Linked DNA regions of Drosophila melanogaster. The protein of the gene in region 1 interacts with the protein of each later gene in a pairwise test. Each region holds a gene or a part of one and is shown in the gene's direction. Other genes may lie near its edges. The genes, in order: CG18649 and CG9782.

The links.
Region 2: the proteins of CG18649 (region 1) and CG9782 interact in a two-hybrid assay, tested with the Drosophila melanogaster proteins (one large-scale study listed by BioGRID).

The regions. Positions count from the first base shown.
Region 1 is NT_037436.4:15,052,856-15,056,211, reverse strand, and holds CG18649 (uncharacterized protein), read left to right. Parts: upstream 1-2,076; 5' UTR 2,077-2,108; coding exon 2,109-2,387; 3' UTR 2,388-2,644; downstream 2,645-3,356. Other genes in the region: EAChm (enhancer of acetyltransferase chameau), read right to left, coding at 755-1,390; CG43680 (uncharacterized protein), read left to right, coding at 2,917-3,066.
Region 2 is NC_004354.4:16,615,291-16,623,224, reverse strand, and holds the start of CG9782 (uncharacterized protein), read left to right. Parts: upstream 1-1,635; 5' UTR 1,636-1,878; coding exon 1,879-1,895; intron 1,896-6,880; coding exon 6,881-7,395; intron 7,396-7,566; coding exon 7,567-7,715; 3' UTR 7,716-7,934.

The DNA.
Region 1 (3,356 bases):
TAACAAAATTAAATATAAGGGGCGGTGCCACGCTCACAATTTTTGGTATCGTAAAAGATATGGCCTAGTGTAACCCAATGCAAAAAAAAAGAAATTGAATGTCTTTATCCGTTCTGGGTAAATCTATAATCTCATTGTCAGCATTAAAAATTACTAACACGCGCCGCATTATAATGCAATTCGCCTATGTTCGACGAGCACCTGACTGCCGTTGCCACTTTTACCTTTATCCTTCTTGTTGACTCCTTCGTTGGCAACATTTCTTCCCTTTTAACCGCCTCCAGGAACTGTTTACAATTGCGCACAAGTCGTCAATGGCTGTCCTCGTCCTTGGGCTCCCTCCAATGGCATCTGGATGTTCCAACACGAACTGCTTTCACTTTCCTAGATTTTTTCACAGATTGTGCATTCAACTAAACATCATTACGTTTTTCCAGTTGCCCCACGCAAATAAGCAACTTAAGCTGAAATTTTATGATTGCGGCTTCTTTAAGAACATTTAATTTGTCACAGAAAATTATTGGAAAAACATATTACGTTTTCTTCAATTCTAAACAATTTATGGAAATTTAAAATTTGCGTTATTTTAAAAAGAATTTTATATCGTTCGTCTAAAAATATGCTTCAAATAAAAATCCATTTTTTTAATAAACTGTTTATTTTTATAAATGACTGATCCCAAAAATATGAAATGAAAATAATGTAACATGTAGTGGAGTGGTTTTTTATGAAAACTTTCAATAAGGCTCAGTGCCTATTCATTTTCCCTAGCGGCTATCTCTTTTTCGATGTCATCTAGAACCTGGTCAATAGCATCTTCCTCGGGATCGATCAGTTCATCCTCATTTTCGTTGTCTTCCTCGGATTGGTCATGGCCATCTTCCAACTCTTTCTCTTTATCGAGCTGATCCTCTTCTAGGTCATCAAGCTGGTCCTCTGAAAGATCTGTTTCGTTGTCGTCTTCGTCCTCTTCAGTTTGATCCTCCTGGTGGTATTGATCTTCGCCAGATTCCTCGTCACTCTGGGAAATCTCATGAGAAAACTCTTGGGAAATCTCGTGGGATTCCTCTGCACTGGACTGTGGACCCTCGACAATCTGACCATTGATGGTGGGCATGATGCGATAGTAACCGTTGTTATAGTACGGATACCAATTGTTGTTCCATTGGTTACGTGGTGACGATGGGGTAGTATTTCCCTGGTTGCTGTTGGCAACGGAATTGGACACTCCCGTAATGATCACCGTGTTGTTTCCAAACTTAACCGTCGTATTCCTTTGACCAGCCTCTGCCAGGACGGCCTGCAGCCAACCCAAATTCATCTGGGGAGCTGCATTGCCATAGGCAAGGATACCGGCAAAGATCAGAAGAGCAAATGCTATGGATTGCATGATTATCAAAAGTATACAGGCTGAGTGCAACTGAGACTATGATTTTCAATTAGCTTATCTTTGTTTTTATATCTTTAAAAAGTTGTCCAAATCGATCGATTTATTGTGACATGATTACATTATGCTAACAATCGTCAAGGTTCCATCATGGCCTACGATATATTTAGTTAGAAGTAGTTATTGTTTTTGGCTTACCACAAATACGACACCGAACATGTGAGTAAATATTAAGAAGTTTCGAGTAAGCGGAGCAAAACAAGCTAATGTGCTATGAATCAGAAAATAAGAATATGGAGGGCCATTCCCAAAATTTGTAAACAATTGTAGGTGGAACAGTGGTTATTCTACAAAGAAATAAAAAGGAGTCATTAATTTGATATAGACATTTTCATAAGCAAGTTAACTATGGATTATAACATGCTGTGTTTGCTTTCCTTAGGTTATACAATATATTGTATATAAAAGTATGACGTTAGCCACGTTTCACTGTAATCTTTATACGTTCTCCAAGTTCCGTCAGTCAAATGTTTACGCACGACTTTGCCTCATTTTTTGACGCTCAAACCAAGGCAACAGCTGTCGCGGGGTAAACACAAAACGAACCAAATAAATTGTCACAATGCGCGCTTTTATTTTTCTGCCAATTTAGAGATTTTGCTATAAAAGCGTATTTTCAATGTGGAACTGAACTTAGTTGAAAACTAAATTTGACAATACAATGCGTGCCTATTTGCTGCTTGCCCTGTTTGGATGTGTGCTTTTGGCCACAGTTTCCGCAAATCCGGTGGACATTGACGACTTGGAGGACCTCGAGGAGGACAAACGAATTGCTGATGAGCAGGATAATGCTAACGATGATGAGAAAGACGATGAGGATTCAAATGAACCCGAGTCCGACGACGACTTAGATGAGCCTGAATCCCCGGAGGACGATTCCCAGAACAATGATGATTCCGAAAGCGACGAGAGCATCCAGTACAATCAAGATGAAGAGTAGCTCTAATGGGAATTAACCCTTTCTATTCTTTATTGTCTTTATCTACACGCTTTCACCGGTCGTTAGACGTTTAAACAACTGTTTACACAGAAATACACAGTTCATCTTCAACAACCAAATAAGTAAAGGTTTTTATGTTATTCTAGTAAATACACACATTTCTGGAAACACCCATCATAATTGGTGCTTTTTACTTAACTTCTTTTTATACAGCTCTTAAATGATTTTGTAAAGAATTACATACTAAACAAAATCTTAAAAATGCAATTTTTATTTAATTAATTGGCCTCAAAGCCACTCTTAATACTCTTATTTCAGCGCAGGGAAAAAGAAATAATTTTCTGCCTGTAATGTGTGGCTCAATAGATCAATAAATGTTTTATCTCTCAAATATTTACTTAACATTAGTAAGGTGCAGCCATTGTGCAGTTTGCAATAGAAATTTTAAAGCAAACACGGCATTCATATATAAGAAGTGCAGTACTTTGAAAAAACTTATTCAAAGAAGAACTAAGTCTACGAAATAGAGATGCACTTTCTGATGGTACTCGTGATAATTGCTCTTTTGGCCATGGCCTTTGTGAGTGCAAGCCCACTTCCCCATCCAAGTGGAGAAGTTATCGTTATTGTCAACCCAAAAGCCCCAGTTGACTGGTGCTCTACAACATCAGCGGCTTAAATTCGAAAATACAAAAATATTTAGAAATTCTCCCCCGATGCAATTTCTCAAACACAAAATATGAAATGAGCAACTGATAAATCACCAATAAAGAAAATAAAAATAAAACTTATTCAGGGTAAAACTTTTAAATACGTTTTTTGGTCTTTATAAGTTAAATGAAATCAATAAACGTTTTGAAGTTCGATTTGGAGATATCAGATTTTTTATTTTGCTTTATATTAGCACATATTACCACGACGGAAATGAAAATCCTTTAGGCGAAGTAAATAGTAATGAAGGTAAGAAAA
Region 2 (7,934 bases), on another chromosome or scaffold:
CCCCCCCTGCAGCACTCCTGATCAATCAGTTCAAGGCCGCGACGAACCCACAAAATATGCATAAATATTTCTGGCTTTATCAGCTTTTACGGATTTTTAATTTGGTGCCATTCCATACCTTAAATTGACTCAGGGCCCGCAGACTTGCAGATGGATTTCGGTTGGATTTGGTGGCCATAGAATTGAGATTCATTGAAGTTTTCAAAGATCAGTTGTTAACTTGCATTTGAGGTCCAGTGATTTTAGTCTTCAAAGAGTTTAATGCTTGTAAAAATATTTAATGTAAATTAATATTTGTATTTATTTCACTTTCTTATTAAGGAAAACTTTTAATGTGGAAAAATTCATTTGACATGTGACCAAAAGTCAATTGAAATTTGTTTCATTACACTTTCTAGGGTATTTGCATATCGTTGATAATTAACTGACTTGATTTGGTTAATTTTTAAACGCGAACTTAGCGATTTACATGCGGCACAGATGTGTGTTTTTGGCCAACGGGCGGGACGGCTGCTTTCGGGGATTGGTTGGTCAGCTCGATCGGGATTTACCAGATCGGCAAAGAGGCAAAACAACAATTGGCCTAAAATCAATAAATTAATTAATAAAATATACAAATTGCGAATGTTGAGTCGGCTCCACTCCGCTCAGCTCAACTCAACGCAATTCAACTCAACTCAGCTCGACTCAGATTGGATTGGCTTGACTTGGCTGGGATTGGAGTGGATTGGATACGAAAAACCTGTCATAACCAGAGCCCAGGCCCGTGACAAATTGGCTCCGAAAAACCAGAAGTACTCCTGCCAGCACAGATCGACCATCGAGGCGCTTGGGCACACAAGGCGAAAAAATCAGGAATTACATTTTTAATATCAGCTTGGCGGGTGGTAGATAATGTTAAATTATACAAACTAATTTAATCAATGATGTCATTGAAGGGGCATAGGAATTTTCTTTGTTAGTGGAAAAATTCAGGGAATATGTGAAGTACGTCGGCATAAATTAATTTAAAATTAATTTTAATTAATTAAAAATTATTCTTTTGCTCACATCCACAAAAAAGGAAAGGATGGCAAGGAAACTTCAGTAATCTGTAATCACATAACTAAGTAATTTGCGGTATTATAAACTTCTATATATTCCTAAAAATATATAGCATGGATACATACATATATTAAACACATTCAATTGAATGTATAAATATAGTTTATACAGTTGACTAAATAAGTCCTGATGAATTTGCATTTGTAATTTGATACAAATACAGACCAAAGTTAAGTTAAGCATATATGTTATATGGCAAAAAGGAAAAGTTCTGAAGAATTCGCATGCCTTGCTTGATTGATGACTATAGATGAAAGTATGGCTAGAATTCGACGTTTCTTACCACATTTTTCGCGCCGTGCAAAAGCAAAAAGAGCTTTTGAGCGCAGGCGGCGATGGAAGTGGAGGGGCTGGGAGTCGCTGGCGGAGGAGGAGGAGGAGGCGGTGGCCACGGGTTGGAGGTGCAGGCAGGCGGTTTGGCTAGGGCGGTCTGAACCTGTTGCGCAGCCGCTGCCGCCGTCGAAGTCACCGTCGCTGCCACAAAATATTGGATGGCCGTAGGTTAACTGTGTGCACACGGCATAAGTAACGTTCAGTCTGCCTCTAGAAGTCGATCGTGATCGTGGCCAGTCGTCAGTACCGCTCGCTAGCAGAGAAGCCGATAACCTCGCCCCCCTCCCTCAAAAAAAAATATATAAAATCAATTATAAATACACAAGTGTTTTTTTTCTAGTTTAAGTTTAAGACGCGCGCGTTTCGAGTTCATTTTGTTGTTGGTCCAAAGCCGCTCCCCACGCATCGAAAAACACGCACGAGCACACACATCAAGACAAAATGAAGTACTTCAACATGTGAGTGATCCAAAAATATATAGTATATATTTATTTCAAAATATTAAATATTGTTTCGTGACCGATGAGGAGAGATCGTATTTTTTTTTTCAAGTGATTGTTATAAAACTGAACAGGACATTGGAACAGAAATAGTAACTTATTAATAGACACATTTTATAATTAAAAATATTTAAAGAATATTTTAATCGAACCACTTTGAGCTTGATTTGCATAGCCCACCACGCACGCTAAACTTCTCGAATTTCTTTGGTACATATATTTAATTTTCGAAATCCCAACTTAGTTGCCAACCGTCGAAATGCATTGGCAATCGACTCCGTTGCATGTAGCACGTTGACTTGCAACCTTTATGGGGCACAACCACATGCAGGTGTAGGTAAGCTCGTCTTAATGCCAATTTGAACTTTAACATGCCGTGGCTTCAAACTGGAACTGAACCGAGCTCCGTGGCTGTGGCTAAAATGCCAAAGTTTGGTCATAACGATGATCACCATGATCAGCATTGCAACGACGACGATGATGATGATGATGATGTGATGAAGTTGTCACGGGATGTGAGGCTGGCATTTTGCCGGCAAAGAAATGGCAAAAGTTAAAGCTTCAGATCGTAAAAGGCGATCACAGTGGCGACAGCAGAGGGGGTGATGGTATGGGGTCTGCTCCATGTTTCAAGGTCGCCAGCTAAAGTGGCTCCTCCTTTCGAAGTGGATGCGCTCAACGCCTCAGATCGTCAGATCACCCGATCACCAGATCACCGCTTTCCTCGACTTTTCGCAGCTGCAGCAAATTAAGTATATTGGATTAATTACCGCGGTTGTCTTTTATAAATTAACGGTTGCACTTTTAATGCGAGCTGACAGACAGACCGCATATCTGCATAAATGCAATACCACTCGAATGGGGTGTGTATATATATATACATATATATATGTATGTATTATATGTGTTAATCGCAGCGTTGTATGCATGGAATTAATCACATGGAAATGGCGAGGAGAGAGGTGGAGTTGGAGTTGGTAGGTGAGTCGGCAGGCAGACGGCTAAATCAGGATTTTCCGTTCCATTTCCCCGGCATGGTGTATTATGCAATTTATTTTAAATAAATAAAAGAAATGAAAATACACGGCGATGCCTTCAAGATTCAACATTCAAGATTCAAGGACTTTCGAGTCGCAAAATTGGCAGTGTGTGTGTGTGTGTGTGTGTGTATGAGTAATATACATATGTGCTGCACTTCATGGGCCAAAGCGAATTCAATGCGATACCGAAAACGTAAACACCAAAATACCACTCTGGGCCAAATCAAAAGACTTAGGCAGCGAACTCGATCGATTTGGCATGCAGCCAGCCAGCCAGCCAGCCAGAAGTAGTAGTAGTAGTGTAAAAACACGTACCAAAGCAACCAAAACACGTACTTGGCCAACTAACAACGACACAATGCACCGTTATTGAACCCACTTGCCTCAAGCGGCCAATCGGCTCTTTTCGCCTTAATTTTGGAACAACTCACCAGGCCAAACCCCCATCCAACCTCCATCCAATTTAACTGGCTTGCTGACTTCAACTTGATCCAACGCGGCAGCAATAAAAGCAGTTACAATCAAATTGAATTCGAATTTGAATCCGATTCGGTGTCGAATGTGCACGTTTGGCCCGTAATAAGTGGCTACACATACATATGGTCCAAATGGGGGGGGGGACTATCTGATCGGGGGCTTGGGGGGTGTGGCCCGTAGGGGGGGGCAAAGGTGCATGCTGGTAGTGGACGCGTAATGAGGTCTCCAGGGCAATTAGAAAACGTGCATGGCTTAACTGGGGCAGGTGTCGCATTTCGTTACGGAAACTTTGAGCCCAGCTCAAGATCAACACTTTCAAGAGGCATTTTTTCTTTTTGAAAAGGTTTCTCTACATTTAGAAATATTGGCCGAATAGTTTCAGATTTTAAGACATTATTTAAATGGGTTTCCTCTAGACTTCAGTTTATAGTTTTTCTTCAGCTTTTATTTGACAAAAACTCGAAATGCATACATAATTCAAGCAAAGCAACTTCCGCTTCTTAAAACTTGAAGACAACCAATCGTTTTAATGCTGCATAAATTGCTTTTGAGTGTGGAAGTTCTTTCATATCCGCAGTAGGCCCAATGACGTCAGCCCATTAAGTCGAAATAAAAAGGCAAAAAAACAAAAAATAAATAAAATAAGCAGCATAAGCCAACAAAACAGAGTGCGAAACGAAAGGAAAACAAAAGGAGACCAAACAAAAGCGAAATGAAATGAAATAAATTAAGAGCCAAACCAATTTGTTGACCAAGCTCTTTAAATGAGGATGATAATGAGGCCGAACGATGAGGCTGCATTAAATAAGTGGTTCCGCCTGATCCACGAAATTCTCGCCAACGCGAGTTGCTTATCATAAATTCGCAACTAATGTCGGCTTATATAACCACCGGCTGGCACTAAAAACAGCCCACGGCGACCAGAAATGTGCCCGTCTGCCGGTGTACCGCCGTACCAGCCGCATCCATTTGCCTACCCATCTATCTACCTGTCCACCCAACGGATTGTTTGTGGGTGTGGACTGCGCACTGGCGTCGTCTGCGCCCTGCCATTGTTCCCGTTGGCCAATCCGCTGGAGAACCGGTTGCGAGATGCTCTATGCCCAGTGCCTAGCCAAATGTCATGGAAAACCCAGCACTTGCAGAACTGACATATGATCCCCCACACCACAGATACATAAATACCAAATATTGCCTTGCGTATAAAACAATGGTATAATAAATATTGGAAATTAACTAATAACAATGAGTGAGTTTATAAGCAACAAACTAAACCGAACTAAACTAAACCAGTGAAGAAAAGCTTTATTCAAAACGTGATCGATCCATTCAAAATGAAAGATCTAAACGACCCGAAGAGAAAATCGTTGGCCCAAGCCCCCTTGAGAAATATTTCTGGGCACGCCTCTGGGCACTGAACTGAAGTCGCTGGAGTCGCTGGGATGTTGAAGATGCCGGGCACGCACCCACAACTTGGGCCCACGCCTTTCACCTTTTGCCAGTTGCATAATTGTCGCTTAACTGGGCCATCTCCATAGCTACATCCACGTTCATATCGATATCCACAGCCACATGTATTCCCACATGTAAAGCCAATCCAGTTGACCCCATAAGCAAATAAATCCCAATGGGGGAAATGCAGCATGCTCGAATGCAAATGAAACGAGCGATACGATAATCGAGTAGAAATAATTAAAATGAACAACGGTGCTATGTGTGTTGGCTAAAAATAAAACTTGGCTTGCACATTTTACCGTTATTAGCCAACTGCAACTGTGAGCGCGCACTTAAATATATTCTGGCGTGGTGCTGGCTGCCACCAACTGGTTTCCCCCGCCCCACTCGTGGCGCTGTTGACTGCCTTTTGCATAAGCACCTGTTTCCTTTGGCCACTCACCCACCGCAACGCCCTGCACAGCCGTACCAACCCCATTCCCCCAACCTTCCACTCCTCTGGCCACCCCCTCATCGCGGCAATAACAACAAAGCACTCGACTTAAGCGTTGCCATAGGAAAGAATTTCAAAACGAGTTCGCTGCCTAAGTCTTTTGTTTTGCATAAAATATGAGCAATTGACTTGACTCACTGAAGCCGCCGCCATCGTCGCCAGCGGCAAAGAGAAATAAAAAGTGGTTAACTAAAGCAAGAAATAAGGAAAAAAAAATATATATATACAGTAGAAACAACAACAACAACAGATACGGAGCAACATTCATTCGCATTCGAATTCGGCATTAAAGCGAAATCCATATCCAAATCGAAATCGAAAGTGAACAAACCCGTTTGTCTGACCTTTACACATTAATATTTGTTAGCACATCTCTGTCCTCCGTCAGCATGCGACATAAAGTATACAAAAAAAAAACAAAAAAAAACAAAAATAAAATAGCAAATCTTACAGGAAACCCGAATGGCAACTACTAATAAATATTAATTATTAGCCTAAACAAATCCAGCTCTTTACGACCTTTACAGGTGATAAATCTAAATAGAGTTAAAAGTGAGAACAAATTCTGCTGATTTTGCAAGCATATAAGCCTATTGTTGATTGAATATCGCTGTTTTAGATCTTCACTTTGCTAAATTTATTATAATTTCATGCTTCTTATTCAGTTAATTACCATATTTCTTGTCGTATCATTCAAAGAGTTTCCACTGTATATGTAGGGGCGGGCACATATGTATTTTATGTACACAATATTTACGACTTCAGGTTCTGTATTGAATAACCCGTCCAACCAGACCTGTCCCGTCCGTCCGATCGCCCAAGAGTTGGGTTCGAGCTGGAAGTCACGAGGATTAGATGCGTGTAGATGTTGGCCAACCTTGCCCGGGGGATTCACCAGATGCCATTCCATCACTGAATCGATTCGAATAGATCCGTTTCGTATCGATTCGAAAGTCGAGCGGTACATTGCACCAGCGACTTCGAAATTCAAGTTATTCCAGTAAATAATACTCGTAATTAACGAAACATTGTTCGTATAAACAACCAATGGGATTTTAATGGCAACAATTCAGTATTGATTTATGTAAAATTTGAATATTTAAGCATCTAATCATGGCAACAAATAGGCACTTGCATTTAAATTCTAATGTTACTGACTAATGATAGCAAGATCGAATTTTTCAAGAAACCTTCAGAATACTTATTTAAAGTATAATTTAATTTAAGTATAAGGAAGTGTGTTTTTTGTCTTTTTAACCATTTGAAAATTATTTCAGTAATTAAATGGTGTTCCACTTTTGGCAATGGTTTTTAATGAGCTATTTTTGGCAGTTTTCAAAGTATTTAAATGAGTAAAAGCATAAGTATTTAAAATAGGAGCTATATACGATTGGCATGAATTATTAAATAATTTTGTTTCATTGCAGTATAATTATATAATTATTAATAATTTATTATATTTTTTTTAATCCACTTAGCTGCCTGCTCTTCATCGTCTGCGTCCTGTGCTACGGAGTGGTCTCCGCTCAGGAGGAGGGTGGTCCCGCCGTTTCGCCGGCGAAGAGAATCGCCGCCCTGCGCCGTCCGGTCGGGAAGGCGGCCAAGGTGACAACCACGACGACAGCGGCGCCAGCACAAGCGGATGCCGGCGGCGAGGGCGAGGAGTATGACGAGGAAACCGGCGAGCACGGCGATCATGGCGAGGAGGGCGACGAGGCGTCCTTTGCCAGCTCTACCACCACCACCACCACGGAGGCGCCCAAAAAGGTCGGCCCGGTTATCCGGCCGTTCCGCTCCAACGATGACTTCCTCAACTCGCTGAAGCGCCGTCAGGCGAACGCGAAGAAGCACCGTGCCGAGAAGCCGCCCAGTCCCAGCAAGCCGGCCAAGAAGAGCGACGAGTCCAACTCCGGCGAGCAGGAGGAGCAGGCATCCGCGCCAGCACCCGCCCCAGCATCCAGTCCCGCCAAGGGCTACAAGGGCAACTCAGCATGTAAGTTAGTCAGGGATTAGGCCAGGATTTTGCTCTAAATGGACTAGCAGTGCCTTCTGAATTTACTAATTTTGAAATAATTGACATTAAACTAGAATAGAAATCTTTAAAATCATCTCTCTATATCAAGTTATTAAATCCATTACTAACTAACGCTTTAACTATCCCCAGTGAGCCGTCGCAAGCTGTCGAAGCCCGCCAAGGCGACGCCCGTGGAGGCGGTGGAGGATGCCGCCGCTGAGGAATCGGAGCAGCAGCAGAAGGAGGAGACGAAGCCCAAGCGCCCCATCGGTCGTCTGGCCCTGCGGAAGCGCAACTGAGCGTTGATTTGAGTGTCAATCAGATCCAACTCCTATTCTACACACATTCCCAGTGACCAGCAAACAACAAACCCTCCCCCCCCTCTCCAACACCACATTTCCCCTCTCTCTCCCCCCCCCCCTCTACCCATCGAATCATATGGCTAGCTATGTGGCAGCCCGATCTGCCCTTTAGTTTTTAGTTCGCAATTGATTTTTCGTGTATGTAATATATTTGTA